Macaca fascicularis: one gene and its partner. The protein of the gene in region 2 interacts with the protein of the main gene of each other region in a biochemical or structural test. Links are inferred from orthologs where the notes say so. Each region holds a gene or a part of one and is shown on either strand. Other genes may lie near its edges.

What was found. The genes of interacting proteins can lie anywhere in the genome.
Region 1: the proteins of APBA1 (region 2) and CNTNAP4 form a complex in vitro, tested with the Homo sapiens proteins (2 studies listed by BioGRID and IntAct, with this or other methods). The link is inferred for Macaca fascicularis from reciprocal best matches to the Homo sapiens genes APBA1 and CNTNAP4.

The regions. Positions count from the first base shown.
Region 1 is NC_088394.1:72,371,253-72,376,061, reverse strand, and holds the end of CNTNAP4 (contactin-associated protein-like 4), read right to left. Parts: intron 1,495-4,809; coding exon 1,301-1,494; 3' UTR 749-1,300; downstream 1-748. UniProt on the Homo sapiens protein: Presynaptic protein involved in both dopaminergic synaptic transmission and GABAergic system, thereby participating in the structural maturation of inhibitory interneuron synapses.
Region 2 is NC_088389.1:100,367,053-100,373,539, forward strand, and holds the start of APBA1 (amyloid-beta A4 precursor protein-binding family A member 1), read right to left. Parts: upstream 3,963-6,487; 5' UTR 3,823-3,962; intron 3,377-3,822; exon of another isoform or gene 2,952-3,376; intron 1-2,951. UniProt on the Homo sapiens protein: Putative function in synaptic vesicle exocytosis by binding to Munc18-1, an essential component of the synaptic vesicle exocytotic machinery. May modulate processing of the amyloid-beta precursor protein (APP) and hence formation of APP-beta.

The DNA of each region.
Region 1 (4,809 bases), on a different chromosome or scaffold from region 2:
TTCTTTGTAATTTTTGAGAAATTCACCCCATCGTTTCAGATGAGAAGTTTCTGGAATGACAAATTCAGCGTAGATCATTTAATATGCTATCTCCCCTTAGAGTGTGCACTCTTTAATTACTGATTGTGTAGATCACTGATGGTTGCAGCTCATATTTCAAAAAGTATGTACTGGAAGTCTATGCACAGCAAAATGTACACCTGAAGGGGTATATATTTCCGAATGGGAAATGGAGCTCTATACTTCAATTTGCCTCTTTTTTGGTAATATATAAGATGATTCGTGAAGTATAATCATTGAAGATCAAGGCAAAGTTTGTGATAAACTTCAGAAAAACAGAAATGTAAACCAATAAAGAACTGACATAGGTTTGGGGAAAATATTCTCCTAAGTATATTTCATTTGAGGTATTACAGTTGTAAATTAAAAAATAATTTTTTTGCTGTGTTAAGAACTTTTTTAAATATATCAACAGTTTAGTTGAAAACATTTTACATTCTTTGGGAAACTGGCGTTACTCAGGGTCTTAAGTACTGTCACCAACAAACAATGGTAGCAAATCAATTGGAAAACTTTTTTTAAAAGGAAAGACATTACATACTAACAACCACTGCACTTTGAGTCTTGTTAAATACAACTTGTATGTTCAGAGTTGAAGTCTGACACTCAAAACCAAATGTATTCAACAATGTTAAGAAGAGACAAATAGAATAATGAGCAATACAAACAAAGCAACGACAACAAAACATTTTTCAAGACTATTGATGTATTGTATTGAATATAATACAGAGAAAGGCAAAGGGCTTTATAATGCTTGTGGCCACTGAAGATGCAAACACCGGCCAAACAGGATCTGAGAAGCATTTCCAGGTCTATGAATAACACCATGGGAAGACAAAAGCAAACACAGCAAATGTTCTCAAATAAAGCAAGGTCATTATAGTCCAAATTTAATTTTCACCTCTAACAAAACTTATGTATTACATGGTTAAGAGACCAAGGCTACAGTTTTCACATGTAAAAACTGTAGCCATTAAGCAGGTTAAACTTGTTTTAGATCATACCAGAACAGTTGTAAATTAACAGCAATATCTAATGTCTTGTTCCATAGAATGAATGCTATGAGAAATATATCACTGGACGAGGCTTGGTGGAGCCACCCCAAGACTGGACATGGCAAGATGGCAGTGCTGCAAACCCATTGCCTGTACATTCAGTGTAAGAACATCCGTTTGTCCACTGAGAGCCCCTGGCTATTAAAACAAACTGTCATAAGTTTATGTTAAATCATAGTTGCCAATCAGAAGAAGTACTCTTTCTGATTTTCACTGACTGCATTTTGTATAGTAAGCTCACTTTTCAGAACAGCCTCAGCACTGTCTACATTCTCTGACCTTTTTGCCTCACTTCTTTTATATAACCTTTTCTGCTGATAAATGCGAACAGCTATGGCAGTGATGCAAAGCAAGATAAAAATCACAACAGCTATCAGACCTAGGGAGAGAAAAGAAATATAAAGTCAGAATTTCTGTCCAAGTAGAAACTGTGCTGACTTCATTGCTTAATAAGTCATCGTAACATTATTTTCCACTTAAGCATCTACTACATACAAATTGGAAATATAAAAACTTCAGATATTCTGGTTCAAGCAGTATCATTGTATGTTGAGTTTATTTCTGAGTTCTATCAGCCTTGTGGGGTTCACCTACGTTTATTCTAAATGCATATTATATCGGATTTACTTAGTGCGTTTATATTTAACACAAGGTATTAACTATATGTCTCTAGGACTATGTGGCCACTTCATATTAGTTTTAATTATTTTGAAAGTATAGAGTAGTAGCAACATCATAAAATGATTAACATGTTTTGTGATTAAATATGTAAACATTTTAATGAAATTGTTATTCAATTATTTGTTATACTGTTGAACAGCAGAAATGGGTTATGTAAATAAATCATTTGAACCAATAAAACATAGATATATAGATATGCTTAAATTATTTCTATATGAGGAATGTTGTTTTAACACTTCTAGTTGTAAATACAAATTCTAAGTATTGCAATTCTTAACTATGCCAATGGTTACCAACGCTGGCATTATATTAGGTCAGTAGTCCTCAAAGTGGGATCTGTAGACCTGTGGTGGTCCCTGGGACACTTTGAGAGGACATGGGGGCTCAAAACTATTTTCATAATAATTCTAAGATGTCTTTTTCACTGTGTTGACATTTCCATTTCCATTTTAATATGGAACCAAATTTGGTATAAAACAAGGTTAGGTAAAATTCCTGGCACTTAGCACAAATTAAGGCAAGGACACAAAACAATAATAGTAATCACTGAATTCATGAAGTAGAAAACATTTCACTGCCAGGCAATTGTAGGAAAAGGCATAAAAACCCAAATTTATTTAAGAATATCCTTAATGAAGCTGTAAAAACTATTCATTTAATTAAATCTGACCCTTGACTGCAAGACTTTCTAACATTTTGTGTGTTAAAATGGGAAATACAAATAAAGTACTTCTGGTTCACTCTGAAGTATGATCATTGCCTCCAGGAAAAGCACTTACGTGAACCTTTGAGTTGGGAACTGAATTAGTTGCTTTTCGCTTCATGTAACACCATTTTTATTTGAAAGAATGACTAACAGACAAACTATGGTTGTTCAGACTTGGGTATTTGGTGGATATTTTCTCTAAAATGAATGAAGTAAATGTGTCACTTCAAGAAAAACCATTATACAGCATATGTTATGAATGATAAAATTCAAGCTTTCAAATGAAAAATTGAACTTGGAAAACAATTTTCTGCCACCAAGAGTGTGAGAGTTGCCTAATACTTAAAGAATTTTCTGATAAGATCAGTGGAGGTACAATCTAACGTCCTTTTCTTAGACAAAAATAGGTACTACGAAAATAGCAATGTGAATCAAATCTCATATGGTAAAACTAAGACTCTATTCTAAAGTAGATGCATACAACTGTAACAGAGTGCACGGAAGTCAAAGATTTGAAGGTTTTTATCAATCACAATAGATTCCTGTGCATATAAACTGCTAGGCCAATTCACCCTGGTCAATTATAGCATGTCCAATAGCCAAGCCAATTTTTCGCTAGGTCAGCCTTACCTGAGAAAGGTAGCAATTCTTTGCTGCTTAATATAAATGTGGTAACCAAATTCTGTACATGAAATCTGAAGAATTCATTACTTAATACGATTGCTTTTGTTATTAGTCACATTAATTAATGAATAACTTAAATCAGAATATTTGTTGTTACATATTTTGCTTCTCATTTTAGAAAAAAATAATCAGTTGAATTGCTATAAATATTTCTACAGGCTAGTTACAGGCCTCTGACTTGAAGAGAAAGATTCTGAACAATTTCAACGTGAAAAATTTCGAAATATGATATAGACAGCAGACAACTGCAATTATAAAATGAATGTTACATTGGCCTAGACAGAATATCCAGACAGTCAAAATCAGGGACGGCCTCTGGAACTTGTTTGTTCCATGTATGTAATTTAGCACTTAATTTGGGGAAAGTGTTGTGTCAGGATTTGTTGTGCTCAAGAAAAACTTTGATCACACCTGTTATACCAGAAATATAAAAATAAAAAATAAACTAGTTATTATGAATAAAATGTGGCCAGCCTCTATGATGCTGCATCTAAAGCACTGTGTGAATCTGTTTTTATGAAGATGTATATATAGCTTTCTCTCTGGCTAAATCTGTCTGTATCTGGGTAGCCTGGCCAGAAACCCTCTACCACATCTGGACCACCACCTTTAAATGTATTATTAAATCAATTATCCCATCTTATACCATTCATTTTGTAAGTAAAAAAAAATCATCTAAGATGTAGAACACAGGGGGATTAGCCAATCTGGAAAATCCTTGGATGGATTAATTATTATTATATAGTGGGTGCAATTTATGAGTAACTAGACAATGAATAAAGGATTCTACCACAATTCTGCCAGATTGTGTAACACACTGGAGGACTATACACTATGATTTGGCAGATAAATTGTGTGTGGCCCAGACAAGGCCTTCAGAGGTTACATGGCCATTACCAGATGCTCTGCTTCTGAAGTTCAATCTCTGCAATGACCAAAACCAGACATCATTAGTCTCAGGGACCCTGGCAAGCCCCTGAACTACAAACCTTCCATATTGTTTCTGTCCTGAAAATTTGAGCTAAGTGAGGATTTCACAGATGAACTGTAACTTGTTTCTATTCTAGAATAATATTAGAATGACTTATCAATGCACCTCTTGTTTAATTCTGTAAATCTTGCCAATGATGTTTCAGCAAAATAACAATAGTCTAAAGATTAAATAATTTGTTCTAGCATTGGCTTGATGACTATACACTGCTCTATATTTCCATCTGTCTCTGTGTCTCTATTACCTGAATCTATCCTGGTTGAAGGTCTGGAAAAAGCAATATTACAAGACTGACACAACTTGCTTGACCAGGAATTCTAGCTTAAACTCTTGGACACATTGTAAATACTACAGCTTTAAGTGAGTTTTTACTGTATAATGTATTTCTTTTAGACATACAATTATTAACTACTCTTCAAATAGAGTTTTTTTGTTTGTTTTGGGTTTTTTGTTTTGCATGTTTGGTGATTAAATGGGAATTCTATATTTTATATCTTTAATTTGCACATCATTAATTTGAGAAACAGAAAAGCAACTGAAATAGCATGGGGGAGTTAATATCCACACAAAGATTTGACTGGTATTATTTGCTGTCCAAATAAAATCCTAACTACTTGAAAGCAATATATGTC
Region 2 (6,487 bases):
TCTCCTTCTAGACCAAGATTCACCTCTGGGCAGGATCTAAGACTTAGCATTCTTTGAATCTCCAACCCTTCTCAACATTCCCTGTCCCCTATACCCCTAGGTACAGTGGGTCTGAGACACAGGAGGCAAGATGTTTGCAAATTAACTATTGTAACCCAGAGAGTTAACTTCAGATTTCATTGCTTGAAATTCTCTCAGTTTTAGCAACAATTACTTCTTCTTTGTAGGCTAAAAGTCCTATCTCCCCAAGGTACTACATACAGTTAATTCCTTTTGGACCCAGAGGTCATTTTCAAATATCTCTTACTCCTAAGTCTTCTGAAACAAACAAACAATAACAACAACCAAAATGAAAACAAAAAACAAAACAAATAACAAAAAAAAACCCTTAAGAGACTCAATAATGGTAGAGAAAAGCACTGATGCTATTTTAAGTGAAGGAAAGGCATCCATGCACAAAAAAATGGCTTGCTGCAGGCCACAGCAAAAGGTACAACCATTTACCAGAGCTGTCTCATGAACCTTATACCAGTCCAATCTTTAGAAAAGCCAGATATTGCATTTTTAAAACTATCAACCTGGGCAACGTAGCGAGACTCTATCTCTGAAAAAAATAAACAAATATCTGGGTGTGGTGCCATGTGCCTATTGTCCCAGTTATTCAGGAGGCTGAGGCAGGAGGATTGCTTGAGCCAGGAGTTTGAGGCTGCAGTGAGCTATGATCACACTACTGCACTCCAGCCTGGGCGACAGAGGAAGACCCTGTCTCAAAAAGATAAATAAAAATAAAAATGATCACGTTTATGTTAGAAAAGAAATCACTGATTCCTGAGTCATCGATTATGCTGCTGTGTAATTTCTCTTTCTCTAAACAGTGTATTTACCTGGTAATTCCTCATATTATTAAACTTTCTTGTAAGACATTTACATCCCTGGTCTTACTTGCAAATATAAAAGATGATGACTTTTTTTTTTTTAAACCAAAACCTCTTAGAATGGCTTTTAAATTCCATAAGTACTTTTCTCAGAAAGGGATTTGGCATAACAAATAAGAGAGTAAAAAACTAAGATTCAAAATTCATTTTTACAAATCTATCCTTAAATCTTGGATGAGAGCCAACAACCAACCTCATATTAAAATCTTAGAAGGCTTGACTTGAAGAACATGGGGAAATTTACTTTACATTGACACTTCAAGAACACCTAGTCTATACATCATTAAATAAGATATATGGGAAGAAAAAAAGCATATGTGGATAGCCCTAGTTTTATTATTTTCAATGAAACAACGATATCGTGCAACCTTTGCCCATAAAAGAATGCAAAACAAAAATTTTAAAAAAGAAAAAGAAACCTCTGGTGCCAACATGTTGTATATTTACTTGTGTAGCCATGACTGCTACCGGCTTTTTGAAGAGAACCGTGCAGCCAGTTTGGATTCCGACAGCAATGCAGTAGAATTTAAGGTGTTATGACTAAAATATGTCCTAAACAGGTTAAGCTAGACATACAACATTTTAATACAGTAGTGTCGAGATACTCATTCCTGTGAATACCGCAGGAGAAATACAGGCGAGGAGGAATCACACTGCCCTGGATACACATGAATATGCCATCTCCCTGCCTATCTCTACCCAACCCTACACACACCTATCTTTACCACGCAGAGACAATTAAACAGCCATAGACTCGATGCATTTCTGTGTCCTTGTTCCCACTGGGTGAGGTATTGCCAGCCTGACATTTTTCCCAATTCCCTACTAGTGGGCTATATCAGGTAGGAAAGCAGGGACTTTACTGACCTGGGACCCCATCACTGTGGGTCTTGGGAGATTTCAGTTTCCAAATGATACACGGCACCACCTAGCTATTGTGACAGCTGGGAGAGTGGATGTCACCAGCAGTAGAAATAAAGTATCCTGTTTCCTGAGGAAAACGCCCTGGCTGTGTGACGCTGACCAGGTGGGCACCAAACACTTCTCCGTGTGATATTTTTCTTCTTTTTTAAAGACTGCCCCCCGCCCCGCCGCATCTCTCTATACGTACACACCTCCAGAGTTCATTCTAAAAGAACCAATACAAAGACCATCCATCCTCTAGCCATAAGGTTTTCAGTGCTTAAATGTGGAAGGAGAAGGTCTAGCTAGCATTGAAAGTTGTGGGGACAGGAAGAGGAATCTGATCATTCAACACTATTCTCCTTCAGGTCAGACAAGAGAAAAACAATAGAAACTGCAGAGTCAGGGAGTACAAGACCCTTATGGAACAGGTGCTAAGCAGAGAAGTAGTATCAGAGGATGGAAGCCCCCTTCAAAACCGGGTACACCAGCAAGCCCAGAATGCGTAACGGTTATCCTATTTCCCTGCCATGTGCCTCAAAGCAACATGCTCACTTCCACATCCCCATGTAATGAGGCCAGAGGAAGGGGAAGCGAGAATCCCTACACTGGGCCATCCACACGCAGGAGCAGAACAGAGACTGTGCTCAGAGTTGCAGGGTCAAAATAACAAACACTGTCCCACAGTCTCAGCCGGTGACATCAAGTCAGGGCAGCGGCAGATCTCTGGGTTTGGGGCGCTGTTTGGGGAACGTGGATGCAACCAAACGCGTACACACACATACACAGAATTTTACAAACCCGCCCCTACCCCACTGCCTCCCTCCACACTTCACACACCAAGTGCATCCTGCCCACCTCACCGTTTCCATCATCACATTCTTTCTCCAGGAGAGTCAGCCGAGAGATGAGGGATCCTAGCGGGGATTCCTGGAAATGTCACCCCCCAACACCTCCGTCCGCCACCCCCATCCCCTCTGCTATACCTTTTACACACACACTCTCACACACTCACTCCTGCCATGACTGTCATCAGGCCCGCCTGCTGCGCCCGAAGCCTGGCATCTGAGCGGGCACCGGACCCCAGCCGTCTCGCCCGCAACGCCGCCTTACCCCGCCTCGCTGGCTGATGGTTCCAGGCACTGCCCCCTGGATGTCGCCTGCTGCCCCCGCTCCTCCGCACTATTGTTCCAGGCAGCCCCTCTCGCGTCCGGGGGCGCCCTTTGGCTAGGACCCGGGCTCCGTCGGGGGCCGCATCAGCGCCGGGCACCCCTTCTCACCCACCCCTCCCTGGCTGTGGTACCTTGCCTGACAGCTGGGTCCGCGGGCCCGCGGGAGCAGGCGGCGCTAGTGACAGCGCTGGTGCCAAGCCTGGGAATAAAGCTCCGCTCCAGCCGCTGCTACCTCCAGCGCCACCATCTTCTCCCGCCGCAGCCGCCGCCGCCGCCGCCGCCGGGACCGCAGCCGCCCTCGCCCAGCTCCGGCTCTGCAGCCGCCGCTCGGAACCCTCCGGTCTCGCGGCCCCACCCCCTTTCCCCACCCTCCCTCCCGCCCTCCAGCTCTCTAGCTCTCCCCTCGTGACGCGCGCCGGGGCCGGGCGGGCCTGCGAGGGAGGGCGCGGGGGAGCGCGCGCGCGCACGCCGCCTGCTAGTAGCGCCCCTGCCTCCCACGCCCACTCGCGTGCGCGCGCGGCCCGCGAGCCCGAGGCGGCGGCGCCGCCGGCGTCCTCCGTGGGCAGCTGGCCGCAGCTCCCCTGCCTCGGCGCCGGTGGGCGTGCGGGACACCGGCGCCTCTCGCCTCCCCTCGCGTCCGGGTTTCGAAGGGCCCGCCCTGCCTGTGTTCCACAGCCCTATCCTCTGGTTCCCGGCCAGACGCACGGAGGGGAAAATGCGGCTGCATCCCCGAGGGGACTGACGGGGACCTCCACCCTCCTCGGTGGCAAACCAAGGGGTCCCCAGTTTCCTAGCCAGGAGCTGTGGCCAACCTCTCTGCGAAGCAACGGGCCACGCTGCAGGACCACGAAGCCAGGCAGCTGGGTCGACTCCTGCAGGGTGTTCTCTCGTGAGTGACTCCCGAGCTTTCCCGCTTCCCAGGCCCCTTAGATACCGCCTGCGCTTCAAATCCGGAGATTGACGGCGTCTCCGGAATGCGCCGCAGTGCTGCGAGTTCCCCGCCAGGGGGAGAGCCGCGCGGGTTTGGGCCTGAGCGAAGCGGGCCGGGCTGCAGTTCTCCAGGGAAACTGCCCAGTCCGGCCAGGGACAGCGGAGAGCCTGCGGATTGTGAAGCCGGGGAAGGCTCGGCTTGGTTTTCCTACCCGCTCCTCAGTTCTGGTTGATCGGAACTTGAGAGTGTCTTTGAGCCTAGCATAGGCTATCCGCCCTAGATATGGCTCCTAGCTCGAGAGGCCACCCTTTGCAGCAGGGACCAGGTGGCAGGTGCTGTGTATTAATGAAAAGCTGTGGGCTAGACAGGCCCCGAGAGGCCTGGGCTCTGGCGCTAGCCCCACCTGTAATTAGCAATGCAATAACTAAATCATTCCCCGTCTTAGAAACACAGATTTTTCATAATAATGTTATAACGCACAAAGCCTAGTAGTTTGCAAAGCCCTCTCCAGACATATATTCTCCTCCAGTAAAATGAGGATAAGCGCTGGTTATCCAGATCCCTTGGGAAATGCATCTTTTACCACACCATGTTTCCATAGTATTTTAAGCACAATGTCTCCAGAGAAGTCTGGGGGTGTAGCCTAAAGCATTCTGAAAGTCTTGTTTTAGCTTTAATATTCGTATGAATTCTGCATTGTACTTCGTAATTTTTTTTCTTTAATAAAACAGCTACCTTCTCAAAAAGATCTTTTAGTAAAATTTAAGATTATATACTAGGAAGATGTATGCTTGTCCTGTGACATTACTCTTTTTTTTTTTCCAGTGAATACTTATTTGGCATATGTACGGGCCAGATATAGTCCTTTTCCACCAGAGCTCACAGTAGGCTGAAGGAAATAGGTATTCAACTATTAGACTGGCCAGGCACAGGGACTCACGCCTGTAATCCCAGCACTTTGGGAGGCCGAGTACGGCAGATCACTTGAGGCCAAAAGTTTGAGATCAGCCTGGTCAACATGGCGAAACCCTGTCTCTACTAAAAATACAAAAATTAGCCGGGCGTGGTGGTGCACGCCTGTAATCCCAGCTGCTGGGGAAGCTGAGGCATGAGAATCGCTTAAACCGGGAGGTGGAGGTTGCAGTGAGCCGAGATCGCGCTACTGCACTCCAGCCTTGGCGTCTCAAAAAACAAACAAACAAATAAAACAATCAGACAAAGTGCAACTGTGATAAATTCTCAACTGCAAAGGCGCTAAGGTGCACGGGAAAATCTAATGTAGACTCCAGGACTAGGTAAGGCTTTCTAAGGAAACGACATTTCAGATCCCCCAGGAGAGGCAGCAGTGAGACACTTCCAGGTAAAGGGAAGGAAATGTCAAAAGGCCCAAGCAGGTGGGGCGGAAGTGAGATGAAGCTGGAGAGGCAGGCAGCAATCAGAACCTCAGGAGACCTTGTGGACCGTTTTTAAATAATAATTTTGTCTTATGAGCCTGGAAAGTCAATGAAGGGTTGCCAAGATTTGGGAGCAGGCAAGCAGGATTACATTTCAGTTCCTGAAAGATCGCTGAGGTGGCTTGTGAGGAATTGATTCGTGGAGGGTCAGGATCCAGGGCCGAGGGAGTCTGAGCTTATCCTACTTAGTGAGTGTTTAGAGTTTTCTGTTTTTGCGCTAACTGCTCTTTTGATTGTTTTTAGTTCTTGCCTCTGCTCTCCTGTGTACTCATCTAGGAGGCTTTCAGAGTGCTTCTCTGTAATGGTTTTTGTTTTGTTACTTTTAATCCACTGCGGTTTTAGGAAGGAAATTAACTTTGTTAGAATTTCAGGTTAAATAAGAGAATATAGGTTCTGAGTGAGAGGCTCTTTTCTGTGCATACACTTACTGCTGTTTGGTTTGCTATCTCAGAGATCTTTCTGCTTATCTTCTACTTTTTGTGTTGTGTTTCCAGTTAGACTAGGTTCTTAGATAAATGAATGAGGGTTACATTATTGCTTTAATAATATCCTCGAATCTTACCTCACAGGATTTTTGTGTAAAGAAAGTATGTGAAATTTCTCTGCAAAGTATTACGTGCCATATAAAGAAAGGTAATCATTGTTAGTTATAATGGTAGCCCAGAGACCTCCAAAACTAATTATGTACCAAATGTTCATATGTGGAAATTTCCCTCCCTCCCCCACCCCTATGAAAAACACATATTCCTATTTCTTCCAGATAGCATGAATCATTGTCTTAAGTGCTATTGTTACTCTTGCCTTGGCTGTCAGGAAACTCAAAGCCAAATTTTCAGATCGTCGTAGGAAATGAGTGGATCCACATGGCATGTAGATCCATGTCTCAATCCCTTCTTTGGTCTTGTTCTATTCTATTTCTAGATTTCCTGTGCCTGCTTTATTGTTTTTCTTTTTAGTAGATCTTTCATAAGGCACTCCAATCCACCTTCTCCTGTTAACAAGGGTCAAAACTGCTATTCAAGTGTTTCAGGAAGCAGTATATAAGATACTGGCAGCCAGGCATGTTGGCTCATGCCTGTAATCCCAGCACTT